Oreochromis niloticus: one gene and its partner. The protein of the gene in region 2 interacts with the protein of the main gene of each other region in a biochemical or structural test. Links are inferred from orthologs where the notes say so. Each region holds a gene or a part of one and is shown on either strand. Other genes may lie near its edges.

Region 1 (7,445 bases), on a different chromosome or scaffold from region 2:
AATGTATTTTGTTTTACGGCCTTTTACTGACTTGATACAAGTGAGTCCTGATTTCTTTTATAGTCCTTCAAGGTGACAAAGTCGTATGTTTTAGAAAGATATTAATAGTTTGATTATAATTCAATTTAGGATATACCCCAAATATCTAACCAGTTTTTGTCACCGTCATCGAAGTATTGTCCGTTAGTACTAATGGTACCAATATTAAAAGTTAATATTTGTATATATGGCACTGTTATGTCACTTAGCTGTAACCAGGGCTGGACTGGGACAAAAAATCGGCCGGGCATTTTGACTAGAGACTGGCCCACCAGGATAGAGATTGAAAATGTGACGTCATTCAGGGGTAAAACCGCAAAGGATTCTGGGAACTTGTGGCAAGAGGTACTAGCGCACGCAGGCTTTCAATTGAACTCAGTTACACAGCGATAAAAAGAAACCCAAAAAATGGCAAGAAGCTGTTGTATTATTAACTGCAATAACCGGTCGCATGACAGCCAAGGGAAGCCGACGGGTAAAGAGATCGGGGTTTTTTTTATCGGATGTCGTTGAAGAGAAATTTTTTAAGCCATGTTTCCGAAGTAAGCAGTGGCGTGTCTAGAAAATTTTTGTTGGGGGGGCCAGGTAGGGGCACAGATTTGGAGAAGGGTGGCAGATGTAATTGGCAGATAATGTTAAAAAAAAAAATCTACCAACCGTTAACCATCATTCAATAACCCTGTAAACCTAATAACTGAATTTGCTTTTGACTCTTATTAGAATGAGGTTTTAACCACTACGGTGCAAAGTTTTTAGATACTGCGTTGATGAAGTACAAGAGATACAATCAGTGCTTTGTCAGTGTTTACTCAGCATTCAAGGACAGCAATATTTGCGTAGTATTTTTACTGACATATAGGGCACATATGTTTTGGGCAAAAACATTTTTGAATATTAAAATACAAACATTTTTAACATACAATTGCCAAATTAGCCAATGCAAAACTTTATCTGCCTATTAAAAAAAGAAGATGATCTTCTTACAAACTGGTGTTTGATTTTGAAACAGGGAAAAAGTGGGGTAACAAATGAAAAGACTAACATTTGAATGAAACCTGAAAGCAAGTAAATACTTTCTATGCCGCCTTATGGTAAACTTTGGTAATACTGATGTATAAAGAACAACACTGGCTGATGATGAAATACAGCTGGCATGGTGACACTGCCAGTATTAACCTGCAGGGCTGGACTGGGACAAAAAATTGGGCATTTTGACTACAGACCGGCCCACCAGGTATTAAAGCCTTTGAATGAAAACAAACGCTGTTGTGACAGTGATGTACACTGTCTTGTTGGTATATGTATGATTTCTATCAATTTTACGTCAGATAAAAACTTTGTTCGCAAGATTCAGATAATTATTTAATAAAAGCTAGATATTTTAAATGAGAATAAGTAAGAAAAGTATTTCTTTGTGCCCCCCTTTCCCTGTTAATGCCCTACCTGGCCCCCTGGCATAACTTTGCTAGACCCGCCCCTGCACAGTTACCAGCTGTCAGCTACGTAGAAAAGGATCCTGGTGTTATTTGTCTCTCAGAAACAGTTCATAACTTCCCTTCAACTCATCCATGTCACCTAAAAGGTAAACCTGTTTCTCCATCACCTGTTCAGCTCTGATGATTCAGTAAGGACATCTCCTGGTTTCATCTTCATGTTTCCCTCTCACCACATATCCAAACCGACATCATGACCAGCAGCTTTACAGCTGTGGCTCCAGCAAACATCAGCTGATACTAGAAATTAATATTAAATAAATTCTAACAACAGCTGATCAAGCTTAAACGTGCTGCTGTTGTTTAGCGCGACATCCACTGGTTTCCTCTTTCTGGCGCAAAGTGGGCGATAAACAAACAAAAAAGAAAACCCGATCAGCTGATCATTGATCAGTTTCATGATTGAAGTAGCAACAGGAGAGGGAGGGGGAGAGAATGAGAGAAGAGGAGGCAGCTGTGCAGCAAAGACACAGAATAACTCCAGCTTTGTGTCTTTTTCATTCTAGCTGAAGTTCGGGACAAACTGCGTCTCTTCTCAGCTCAATACAAAACCTGTAATATTGTCTCTGAATGAGGGACCATTTCATTTTTAAGGAGCCGTTGGCAACTCTACTAACTAACCTTATGAATAAAATAAAGTTCACCATCAGTAACATCACAGCATCCACCCAGCTGTATAGAAACTCCATCATGCTAGCTAGTACGCAGTAAGAGTTATTGTAACTGACTGTAAAAAGTCAGCACAACGAAAATAAACTCCACCTAAACTTGGTTTATATCTGACCCAGATAGACTCCAGGTCATAACTTCTTACCTGAAGTTCAGTTCACTTGACAATTGGACTGGCGGCTGCCTCGGGTCTCTCCTCCTCCTGGCTCCCCTTTCCCTCATCCACCTGCTAGCCGCCGTGGAAGCTCCGCCATGCTCGATGGCCAGTCCAGCTATGTTAAACTGTTAATCTTTCGCCGAAAAACTGTTTTCTGTGGTGCTGTCTTTCGTGCTTGGTTCTCCTACCTTTGCTAACATGATGCTCATAGCGCAGAAGCCGATGCTGTATTCTCTTACACTCGGATATCTGAGCTTCACTGTAAAAACATAATCGTACATTTGATATTTCATTGGATTTTATTGTTTTGGCTTCGGGGTGGCCAGTCTGGTTGGGGGGGTGGCCTGTGCCCCCCCAGGCCACCCCGCTGGACACGCCACAGGAAGTAAGAGCCAACGGATGGTCTGGATATACCAAATATAACATCTCAGAACACTCCAGCTCACATGTTAGTCTGCTCCAAGCATTCCCACAAAGGTCAGTGTTTTGTAGTAGTTAATACGTCATTTTTCTTAACATAATTGGTGATATAGGTTACAAGCAAGTCTGGCGCTGAACAGAAATTGTCGCGCTATGCTTCTTTATTTATTGTGCATAAATAGTGAATTGTCCTGACACAATATTGCGTTTCGCTTCTGTTATTACCATGACAAAAACATATACTTTTATTCACAGGATAAAACAGTTGTTTTGTATCACTAATTGTCCAGTGCAATTACAACATACAATATTATTGTCACTGCTACATTTCTGTAATGCGTACCAGAAATTATTTCCACTACTAATTAATTACCGTTGAGCTCAAAGGTTATATTAATAAACGGTTAACGATTGTGTATTTATGAAGACGATTTGTGAGACTGGTAAGCTTACCTTTGTTTGTACGATGGTCTTTTGTTCTACACAGTGCATTTCAAGGTCCTGTACCCATCCGTCGGTAAACTGTACCTGAGCTTGTTGCAGTGACCTGAAGTTACTAAAAACTTCAGGAGTGTATGCACTCACTCCAAGAACCTTATAATTATAAATCTGAGCGTGGTAAAAGTTGGGCAGCACGCTAACGTCCTTTGTCCACTCTGTGTGCTCATAAGGGTCTGACCCTTTCACTCCTTTGATTTTTTCCTCATATCTTTTCTTTGCCTTTTCGTCGAGTCTGTCTTTGTACGGACCGGCATTGTTCTCCTTAGTTTTGTACATTCCTTTTTTGTGCGGCAAAGAAAAACCAAGAAGATATTGGAACCGGAGAATGAACGTTTTGCGGTGCTGCAAAAGCTTGCATTTGATGCGTACTTGGATTGTTTTGCCACGAGTTCCCGGCATGCAATGCGCGAAAGTCACGTGATCTGTCAATCGCCTTTGCATGAAAACAACTGCTTTGATGTACACTGCCTTGTTGGTATATATGTATCAATCTAATAAACTTAAACCTACACCATCCTCCCTATTCTGGATTTTAAACAGTACATAGCGGAAACAAAAAGACTGCTTGGTCGAGTTAACCTCCTGAACTATCTACAACACATGGTAGAAACCTTAAATTAAGATCAAGAACACTAGAGGTGAGACATGATCATTAATTAATATTAAAATTAATAAATGACAGATTTAGTGATATTTTCATAAACACCTCCTTTCCTTTTTTTGTTCTCCATTTTCTTTAGTTCGTCTATAAGATTGCTAAACAAGGGGGAGGGTGCATCCGGCCTCCTCGGCTGTAATTGGTCCAGCCCAGAGTCGATCATGACCAATTGGCCAATCCAACACCTTTCATTATATATACCCTTCCTAAAAAAAAAAAATAAAAAAAAAAATCCATCGGCCCATAAAATCAAAAAATCGCCAGCGGCCCACCGGGCAAATGCCCGGTATGCCCGATGGCCAGTCCAGCTATGGCTGTAACTATTGTGTCTCTGTGTAATTTAGGCATGAAATCAGCAAAATCGATAAAACTGGTCATTTAAGATTTAAGCATGTTAGCTCTTTTAAAGCTTTAAGCCAGTGAGTGACAGTGATTTCAGGCTGGTGCCAAGACAGTGCAGTACATTTAACATTTGAGTTGACTGATTTTATTGGTCTGAGACTTTTAAGTCAGCACCTCATTGCTAGACTGACACAGAAAACCACGTGACTGACCTGACACATTCAATTTTAGCATGTAAGTCAATAAATCAATTATAAAAAGGATAATTTATTGTTCTAAATCCATTTCATGATGGTTTCTGTCAGATAAAATGCTGACATTTTGTAAAAGAAACCACATTTTTGTTTTAGTTAACAGCCCAGTTTATGTTAATGTTTTAGATATAATGGGTAATCCATTTCAGTTAAAATGGGTCACCATTTGAGTTGAGTTTCAGAAGATGTTCTATTAATTCTAATAAATAATGGGATGTGAAACATTTCAAACTAGCAAGACTTAGGGGTTGACAGCCTGAAAGACTTAACTCAGGGTGAAATTTTCCCTCTTATTTCCTGAGCTAACAACACTCGCTTCAGCTTTAACAGATAGCTCAGCCCATGTTAAATACGTTCAGTCCGTTGGAATAATATTACAAACCAGGTACAATATCTTTCTGAAGACAGACAGCTCGTTAATGTAGTTCTAGTTTAATGTCAGTCAACAAGTGCCTAAGATTACTTTGTTGCCTTTTTGGTTTGTTATCCTAGCTAGCCCATTAGCTAAGTCGCTAGCTGTTTAGCGCCAGCTCCCTGACGCTGGTTTAATTACGTTAAATACCCTTACTAACAATTTGTATGTGACTGACAGCTGTGTTGTCTGATACTCTACGCGACTGGAGTGAAAAAGGAGATTGGGTAAGTAAAGTTTCCCATAGTAATACAGCTACATTACCTATCAGATGGGCTTAGTACGGGGGGCATGTTTGATACTGTTTGTTTTTTTTGGGGGAGAAAATAACAAGTTTATAACGTTACCTATAACACAGCTGGTGCGATCTGGTGCTTTTGGCTAAAATTGGCGACTGGCGTTTATACTTTAATTAATCTAGATTTGTGTCGAGTCCATTGCTTCGGTAGTGCAGATGACGTAATGTTTTCCTCCATTCCTGTACGTGAGCTCAAAAATCACTTGCATTTTATCGGTGACTCATGACACAGACGTCTATCGTCAGGTCAGATACCCATCACACACACAAGCTGGACTTGGATTTAAACGTTGTATTAAAGTGAAAATGAAAGTTTGCAGCCTGGGCCGCCTAAATGGCGCTGAGGCCTGGTCTGCCATGTGTCATGTGATGAAGAATGCCGGGAAGGTCATCGGCATATTGATGTTCAATATTAATAACGCTTTAATTAAACAAGAAATGTGTGTATATGTGGTGTAATGTTGATGTTTTTCTGCAGTGATGGTGCAGCCACAACCCGATGGCCCCATGCAGTGGGAGATGTCCGGAGAAGAGAGTGGAGCGACCCTCAGGGTCCCACCAGAGCTTGCAGCCAATGAAGTGGTGACCAGATTGTTAAGTGACAACCAGCAGCTTAGAGGTAAGCGTGTTCACACGAAAAAAAAGGTCACTTAAAAGAATATTGCTGTACTGAGTGATGAGCTCAAACAGCAGACTCAGAAAGAAGAAGGAAGAAAGAAGCAAATCTTGTCCCTTAAAAACCATTTTAGAAGCATATTTGTGTGGTTCATCATTTTAAAGGATTTATCTACATTAACTCTTGAATTCAGTGGTCACTGGGACATACAAACTTTATGCAGAGATAACAAATACTTCAAAGGTTACCGACTTTGCTCCAGGAAGCTTTTTTCCCCCCTAGAAGTTCTGTTTCTATCAGCGTCTTTGCTCTTAAAGTGTCACATCTCATTCTTACAATGTCTCTGGTGTTAGTCACATTTGTATGGTAAGGTGAAGACCCTACAGCATAATAGAGGGAAAACCCCAAAGAGCAGACAATCCCCTATGAGCAAGTATCTGATGATGGTGGTAAGGCAGAACTATCATTTAACAGGAAGAGTCGTCCGATTTGTACATTTGTAAAAACCTCAATCTATTTTCAGATTTCCTAGTGTAATAAAATCTACAGATGTGTGTGCAGATATTAATGGCTGAAAAATAGACAGTTCATGAGTTAGAGATATACTTGTGCCGCTGTAGATGTAAATATCTGTGAGAATGCTTGTCTCTAACTACAGGTCATTTACACACTTGTACACTCATTTCCAGGTCTCAGTTTGCAAGCAAATGTTACTAAAGATTTACCAATTCCTTTATTCACATTTACAAATTAGTAAGCATTTATGGAGACCTAATGATGCATGCAACGAATAAAATAGAACAATTCTTCACACCTGTTTGCAAGGGTTTTGACTACAACAGATACCTCACAAAGCAGCAGGATCCCCCTTTACCTACACCACAAATACAGACAGAAAAGCATAAGCTAGATCAGCAGAAACATGGAGGCGTTTCATTTGCATCACTCAAAGTGTTTGCTGGACACTGGTCACAGTGTCCAGGTGATATTACACCACCATACACACCTTGTGAGTCACAGCACTTTAACTGTGTCCAGTATAAAGTATCGGTATGCTTTCTCTCTCAATATAAGTGCACAAAAAACTACTTTATTAATTTAAGTAATGTGGTGTGTTTACTGGGTACACATTACTGTTTCAAAGGAACATTTAAACAAAGTATTTTTAGTCATTCACTGTTGAGTTTATAGAGTGTAAAGAGGAAGATTTCTATATTCAGTTATACAGCAAACTCTATCTGAAGTTAACTAGAATTAGCTGGCGTTAACCTCTATGTGCTGCAGCTCATGTAAATTACTTCAACTGAGAAATGTTTTTACTGCTAATAAAGTTGAACATTTATTTTGTCAACATTTGTATAATGGTAAACATGACTAACATACACAGTAGCGTAACAGAGGAAGGCAAGGAAAGAGTCAGCAAACTCAGTCTGTATCATTATTTAAACTCTATGCTCATGTTGACATGAGCTACTGTTGTTAGTCAGTTAGGAAAGGGTGTAATAAAAATAAAAGTCATATCTGATTGCATTTCCAAGAACTGAGCAAGAGTTTGTAAAAGTATAATTAGATTTGATGTGGCAGTA
Region 2 (7,680 bases):
AGACAATTGTAACACATGCACCACCCTTGGCCATCTTCTCTAGTTTCACATAAAAATAACTGCGTGTATTTGAACATCACACATACCTACCAAAATAAGTGCCAAGAGCTCAGTCCATTTGTGTTACTGTGCTCTTGTCAGAAAATAAATGTTTAGCTTGGGAAAGCATATCATTTACACTTTATCTTGGAGAAAATGAACCTCAGACGCCCACACAAAGAAGCCTCAAATGGATGTAGTACTCTCTCACTCTGCCTCAGCTTTTCATTGTTCTGTGCCGCGCTGCTGTGCTGCACAATTTGGTACTTACAGGTTTTGTGTGGGAAGGTCAGCTGCTGAAATGCAGAGATAGGTCATCTCCTGGTGGACAGAGTATACTAGTCAAATGTCACGTTCTCCTAAATATTTAACACAGATCAGCTAACAGAATGAAGAATATAATAAATGTCACCATCACACCAACACACTCAGTGATTCACGATGTGTGTTGCTTATGGTGAGGGCAGGCTGTGTAACTAAAGCTGATTAGCCACTATACTAAAAACGCCAGCCTAATTGTTCTGTTGTCCCATTAAATTAGCTCTGAGCTGTCAGGTCATGGACGGGGGACCTCTTTGGTGTCCTGCGGCAACCTCAGGCTATCAGGTTTCTTCCAACTTATCCCGATCTTGGAAGTTTAGAAACCAGGACAAGACCGACCGCGGGCTCTCTGTTGCATTTCTCTCTTTGTAAATGGTTTGTGCTCTCTATCCCTGCTGTTCAGGAGGTACCATTGGCAGGGTGGGGGGTGTCTCTACATGTTAAAGCGTCAAAATTAATAATCCAGAAAAAAATAATAATGAAGAGAGACTGCATAGTCCGAGCTGGTTGAGACAAGAACAACCGCCTACTCTGAAACCCACGCAGGCACACAACTCAGCACACTGATAAACCAACTGCTGTTGACTGGCATTTTACATGATACTCTAAAGAATCACATGAGTAAAAAAAAGTCCCCTGTGTATGTTTTACTCGCACGGAAACGAGAGCTGTTTGCTCAAGGAAAAGAGCCACTGATACACAGTGCTTCCTGAACAACCTGACAGACCGGGTCGACTGTGGAGGGTGTCTGACTGCTCTCAGCCAATCAATCTGCTCCGCTTGTTTGCTTGATGACTCTACTTAAAAATTTATTAGAAATTCAATATGTGTACCTCTATGATTCACCTGGGTGCTGAGACATTATAAGACAAAGAGAGCTTCTCACCTGGAGGATAGGAGCTGCACTGTCATGAATGGACAGGATGTGTGTAATGTTGTTTCTGGCTAACTGTTCTCTGTCCCTTGCATCTGACAGAAACACATAACAGCACAGTCGAACAGCGTTATTATATCTGCACACATATAAGAAGTCAATCAATACTAATAATAATAACAATAACAATAATAATAATAATAATAAAGAGAAAATGAGACACACCTTTGAAATTTCCCAGGTATAAATCAGGAAGGACCTATAAGGAAAAAGAATACTGATTGCTATATCAAAAGTAATCATTGATACTGAGGTGGTGCAAACTGATTAAAGACCAATCAGCTATAAAGATAAATGAAACCCTGGCAATATGAAGGTATAATTACAAACGGTGTCCTTTGACGATCTGAATAGATACATATTCAGCCACTAAATGATAATAACTAAAAAAATAATAATAACTATGCCAAAATAATTCAAGTTTGATCACTGAACTAGGCAATGATTAAGTATTCTAACAGCTATACTACATTTCCTAATACTGCAAAGTTAACGAGCAACCAAACTTTTTATTCTATGAAATATCCTAAAATGATAAACACATTTCCTTAAAACACTGAGGACCACTCACACAACAACTCCAACCTGAGGAGCACGGAAGAGAGGATAATCGTACCTTATTGATGCCATTACCCATGCTGAAAGACCCGCCTCACTGGAGAAGAGTTGAAAGAAATGCCCCACGCCGCAGCCTCGGTGCTGGAAAACGCGTATCCGGCGTCTCGATGCCTTCCCAAACCGGCTGAAGGGGAGCAAACGCAGTTGGTCTGCGTGCGAGCGAGCCGAGCACTGCTGCCCGAGGTTCCCGAGGTGGATGCTGGGAGCTGTAGTTTCCTAACGCAAAGGGCGTTGCAGACCTGTAGTAGATGTGTGTGGAGGAGTTAAACAGCCCCACATAAAAAATATAATTAAAGAGATCAACGAAAGGCTCAGTAATTTAATCAATATCGATCATGTTGCATGAAAAAAATGACATTAAAAAGTAATTTGGTTTTGTCTCTCTTGTTAATAATAAAGGCAGTCACAAAATGTATACATATATATATATATATATATATATATATATATATATACACACACAACAATAACAACACAGCCTTTTTGATGCTTTGCAGCCAGGACAAACAGGAAACAAGGCTATGAGTCAAGTACAGAATGGATCTTCTCACCTTCAACCAAAACCTCACAAAATACCTGACTTTATTTCCTTTGATGTCATAATAATAACACAGTGCAATAACACTGAAGATAGCTGTTTCTAAAAAAGCAAAACACAAAGTATTCACAGGTTTGTTTGTTCTGTTCCATACAGACGACCCAGTCTGGATGCCATCACCACCACCAGCAAAATGATGGCACCTGTGGAAAGGCTTTTCAAGCAGGAGAAAACAGGAAACAGATCTGCAAGCTGAATGTGTCTTATCACCCTCAACCAAGAGAACCTTGACTTTATTCCTTTTATCTAACAGGTTGAAATAACTAAAATAGATTGAAAACACAGCAAAAACCACTGTTTGCAACAAAGTGAGTTATAAAATATTTACTGATTTATTTATGTACTGTTTCCCCTCCTACAGACCAGCCAGTGTGGATGCCCTCTCCACCAACAACACAACTTTTATTGTGACACCTCTGGAAAGGCTCTTTCCAGAGGCTTATCCAAATGATTTTCCAAACAACATATGAAGGCACGTTTTGTTAGAAAAAACAACAACTTTAATCTATGCTGCAGACATAATCAACTAGATGCATTCTGGCAGTTAACCAGTCTGAACAGAAATAGAGTGTGACTGCTAAAGGAGGCACTGAGAAACCAACGACAAGTACGGGACTCTACAGTGCTGCTATTACAGAGAAATGATGGCATATGTCAGATCTCTACTGATAATTACTGTGATAAAGACATCAACAGGAAGTGCTGCTACCCACTGCCCAACATTGACAGCACATTTACACCGCAGACACCAGTTCACTTAACTTCCTGGTAATGCGTTGTTTTGCTATGTGGGGCAGCTTGTGACCGCCAGCCTCTACTCTACAGCTTGAATGGGAGGAAAGCATCTGCGACAGAGATGTGATGCACTTACTACACAGAGTAATGCAAGCTGGTTATCAGTCCACCCATCCGGTTTATGCATGAGGGTATGTATACTTTTCCCCTAGTTTTATTGCTTTTAAGAGCTCTGCACACTGGTGAATGTACTCTAATAGTAATCAATCAATCTAAAATGTTACTTGGATTCACAAGAAAACTGGGCAAGAGACAACATTAGATATTTGTATCACTTCTTGTAGTTTTGCCATAAAGTAACTTGAGTTTATACAGATAGTCAACACACTAATGGACCTAGACCCATTTGTAAACTGCCAAAACTGAATGAGGACGCTGCCCCGATACTGTGCCACTAAACAAGGTCATCTATGTGAATCTCCAAGCAGTCATAAGTAGGTGGAATTTAAGCTTGAATTCAGTAATTTCACTCACCAGTTTGGTTTTTGTCTTTTAATTGTTGGTAAGAGCACTCCATTTCTCATCAACTGCTATATAACCTGAAGGTTACCACCAATAAATGTAATTAACAGAAAAAAAGTAGAAGAAAAAAACTTGCAAGCCAATAAAATGGAGACAATATGAGCCAGGTAAATATGATACTGCTTTGATGTGGCTTTGGTGTGCAAAAGGAGGAATTTATAGTGTGGGCGTTCACAGATAGGCTGCCCAAAATGTAGGCCTACTTGTAGTACATCGCCCACATTGTCAGTGGCTACAATTCAGGTGGTTTCCCGCTCTAGTTTCGCATAAATGTTCAATTTATCAATGAACTTGGGTTTTTTTTCAGTCAGTGCGTCATTTTAATTACTCCATCATATTAACTTGTTTTTTGGATTTTTTTGTTATTACTTTAAAAAACAGAAGCAAACAAACAAAAGAAAACGTCAAAGTCCTCATCTTAACTTAGCTTAGCTTACATCTTAATTTTTTAATTCGATGAGAACGTTTTTTCCCCTCTTATGACAGCTGCCGTTTAGATCCAGCTAGAACGATTCAACTGTGTCACCATCATGAAATATGAACAGGCCTCCCCTGCTAACAGTTTCACCACTAGGTGGCGCCAACGTCATACTCAATGATTTACAGCCATTGGCAGAAATTGCAGAATGTTGCTCAAAAAACAAAACAAAAAAACAATGTGAACACAACAGATAAGACAAGTAAACGCACAAAGATTTATAAGTTTTTTATCCCGTATTTCTGCTTTGTGTTAAAGGCATCTCCGACAGTACATACCTGAATCTACTAGCAGCCCTGGATTGTTTCTGTCATCGATTTATAAGCCTGTTTGTAGTTTTTTTTTTTTTTATCTTGCGCGTTTCACTTTTGAAGTAGGTCGTCGAGGAAATCCCGGAAATAGAAATAAACTGCTTTACTTGGACTTTTCCAGCACATTTTCGGTAACTGTTTTGTTTGATACTGGAAGTGAATGGGGGTGTTCCCCCTACACTTTTGTTTCCCGAGTAATTAATTTAGTTATGGAAGTGAAGTCAGTTAAAGATGCCGACACTTTGGGATAGCCTGTGCTGTTAGCTGACCTCTGTGACAGTGTTGTGATTGTTACGGATGGTTGATTAGCCGATTCAGTCATTAACCTGTGTCCTGTGCGCTTTGTTACGGCTTTGTTTGAGCTGTAGGTTTTTTGGTTTTTCCGATGTGACACTGTGAATTCTTCCCAGGGATGGCCACCGCGCCTGAGTACTCACTTCACATGAGGTCGACGGATCTCATTATAAAAGAACCCCTGGATTACGGAGGTTTTGGAGAAGTTTACTTATGTTATCATGTGACGCTGGGACAGGTGGTGTTAAAGACTATGTACACTGGACGTCTGCGCAACGAGTAAGTTGTTGTTGTTGTAGTTGTTGTAATGTGTTACTGCATGTGCTACCCAAGGGTATTCCCCTTCGTCCAATGATAACTTGAATCATGTGTCCCGCGAAGTTTTCCACGCAACCAAGCGAGACACTTTTAGAGCGTGCAGAAAGTATAATAACACAAATGAATACACACGGATGTAAATGAATGTACTCGTTATTACGGTTGTCTATACCAAGGTAGTGTGCTGTGAAAAGGGACACTACCTTGGTATTAAGTCCAACCACTTCCTTTTTGCACAAGGAAATAGAGACAGGTTGATTCAGCTCAATGCCGATGAAGTCCAGCATCCGTTTTTTATATCCGCATATATGAATTAATTATTCTATTAATTATTGACTATTTAGTTGTTTAAAAGTTGTGAAGAATATCTGTTCACTTTTTATTTTTTGAGACAACATTTCAAATGTAGTGCGTTGTCCCCTTAACAGTCTGAATATAAATAAATGCAAAATGTATTTATAATTGTATTTATGTATTTATAAATACAAAATATTAACAGTGATTATAAAAAAATGTTGCTGATACTTTTACTTTGTTTGACCTCTCAGCTTATTGTTTGTATCTCAGATGCACTGTGAGGCACATGCCAATCCAAAGTCTTGCCTCAGTACTTTCAATCAGCTCCACCAAATACCCAATTTTTTTTTTTTACACATTTTTTAAAAATGTTGTCTTTATCTTAATCCTTATCAGTATAAAATGATATATTGATTTTTGTAGCACTAGAAACAGAATCACTGCTCTGGCTTGTCTGTATGATTATAAATGGTAACAGAAAGACAGAATTAAAGACTATATTTCTTACTTATCTGTTACTGCACGCCCACACATGCATAAATATCAGAATTGGGTTATTGAAGTCGGTAAGAATATGCTCACATTGTCCCTTTTACTATGCAAAAGCTTTCTCTTATTACATTTAACAAACTTTCCAGGGAGAGTAAAAAATCACTACTGGAGGAGGGAAAGATCATGGCGAGCCTGAACCACGAGCGAGTGGTCAAGTTGCTGGGTGTGATTATGGAGGATCGAGATTGCTCTCTTGTCATGGAACTCATCCCCAGAGGCAACCTACTGGACATGCTGGAGACCGTTAGTAGGCTTAAATCAATAAATACCTGTAATAAACACAGCTTTTGTGGTTTTCATCTATAGCGTGTAACCTTAAAGAGTTCCACTTTTGTCAGTTTATCATGAACTGAAGCATTATTACACTATAATCTCTCTGTTCTTCAGGTCAGTGTGCCAGTATCTATCAAGGGAAGAATCATCTTAGAGATTTTGGAGGGAATGATGTACCTCACAGAAAAGAATGTCATACACAAGGACATCAAGCCGGAAAACATCTTAGTGGACAAGGATTTTCACATCAAGGTACATTACACTCTCTGGGTCATGACACATGTAGGATTCTGTCTGCTGGCATTCACAGTCATGGTGAAGGATTTCTTGTAGATTGCAGATCTTGGTCTGGCCACCTGCCAAACGTGGAGTAAACTCACCAAGGAGGAATCTCGAAGGAAGAGCCGTATGAGGCAATCGACTGGTGTGAGAGGAGCTGGCACACTGAGCTACATGGCCCCGGAGCACCTGGAGAGTATTCATAATCCCTCCACTGAGAAGTCTGACGTGTACAGTTTTGCCATCGTGGTGTGGGTCATTCTCACAGGGGAAGAGCCATATGCAAGTGAGCTGTGATGTCATGACATGCCAAAGTTTGCCAAAGATTACCAGATGCAGCATATCCTCTTACAGCATGTCATTGCAGCCATTTAAAAAAAGCATCTTTTTATGCCCAGATGCCAGGAGTGAAGACCAAATCAGCCAGTGTGTTCGTAACGGTGACCGACCGGCAGAGGATCTTATTCCAGAGGACACGCCTTCTGAAATAATTCAGCTCATGAAAAGATGCTGGGATCACAATCCTCAGGAACGACCGACTTTTAAAGGTTTCCTTTTTGTGTATTTTAAGCAAAATAGCACTCATTGATGGAACCACGTACACTCATCAGCCATTTCATTAGGTACATTTCCCAGAAATTTTGGTCCATATCAACACGATAGGATCACACAGTTGCTGCAGATCTGTCAGCAGCACATCCAAGATGCAAATCTCCTGTTCCACCACATCCAACAAATGCTCTGTCTGACAGATCTGGCAGTTTGAGTGCAGTGAACTCTGTCTGTGGTCTTATGCTGCTCTAACACATCTGCCACAAGACTCGACTTGTTGCGCATTCAGATGAGATGCTCTTCTGTAATGAGTGGTTATGTGAATTACTCTTGCTGTTGAGTAATTGTTGCCTTCCTGTCAGCTCAAAGCAGTCTGCCCATTGTCCTCTGAGGTCTAGTATCAATAGTATACAATACAATAACAATATTTTCTCTTTTTTAGATCATGTTCTTATGTAAATCTTTGAGTTGGGCGGGTATGAAAATTCCCGTAGATCAG

The links. The genes of interacting proteins can lie anywhere in the genome.
Region 1: the proteins of ripk1l (region 2) and ikbkg form a complex in vitro, tested with the Homo sapiens proteins (4 studies listed by BioGRID). The link is inferred for Oreochromis niloticus from reciprocal best matches to the Homo sapiens genes RIPK1 and IKBKG.

Annotation. Positions count from the first base shown.
Region 1 is NC_031984.2:33,182,392-33,189,836, forward strand, and holds the start of ikbkg (NF-kappa-B essential modulator), read left to right. Parts: upstream 1-4,445; 5' UTR 4,446-4,513; intron 4,514-4,773; exon of another isoform or gene 4,774-5,125; 5' UTR 5,126-5,172; intron 5,173-5,721; 5' UTR 5,722-5,723; coding exon 5,724-5,862; intron 5,863-7,445. UniProt on the Homo sapiens protein: Regulatory subunit of the IKK core complex which phosphorylates inhibitors of NF-kappa-B thus leading to the dissociation of the inhibitor/NF-kappa-B complex and ultimately the degradation of the inhibitor.
Region 2 is NC_031982.2:17,766,169-17,773,848, reverse strand, and holds the start of ripk1l (receptor-interacting serine/threonine-protein kinase 1), read left to right. Parts: upstream 1-4,589; 5' UTR 4,590-4,747; intron 4,748-5,026; 5' UTR 5,027-5,028; coding exon 5,029-5,189; intron 5,190-6,163; coding exon 6,164-6,320; intron 6,321-6,464; coding exon 6,465-6,602; intron 6,603-6,683; coding exon 6,684-6,915; intron 6,916-7,027; coding exon 7,028-7,177; intron 7,178-7,680. Other genes in the region: dusp22b (dual specificity protein phosphatase 22-B), read right to left, coding at 311-360, 1,247-1,329, 1,460-1,493, 1,911-1,931. UniProt on the Homo sapiens protein: Serine-threonine kinase which is a key regulator of TNF-mediated apoptosis, necroptosis and inflammatory pathways.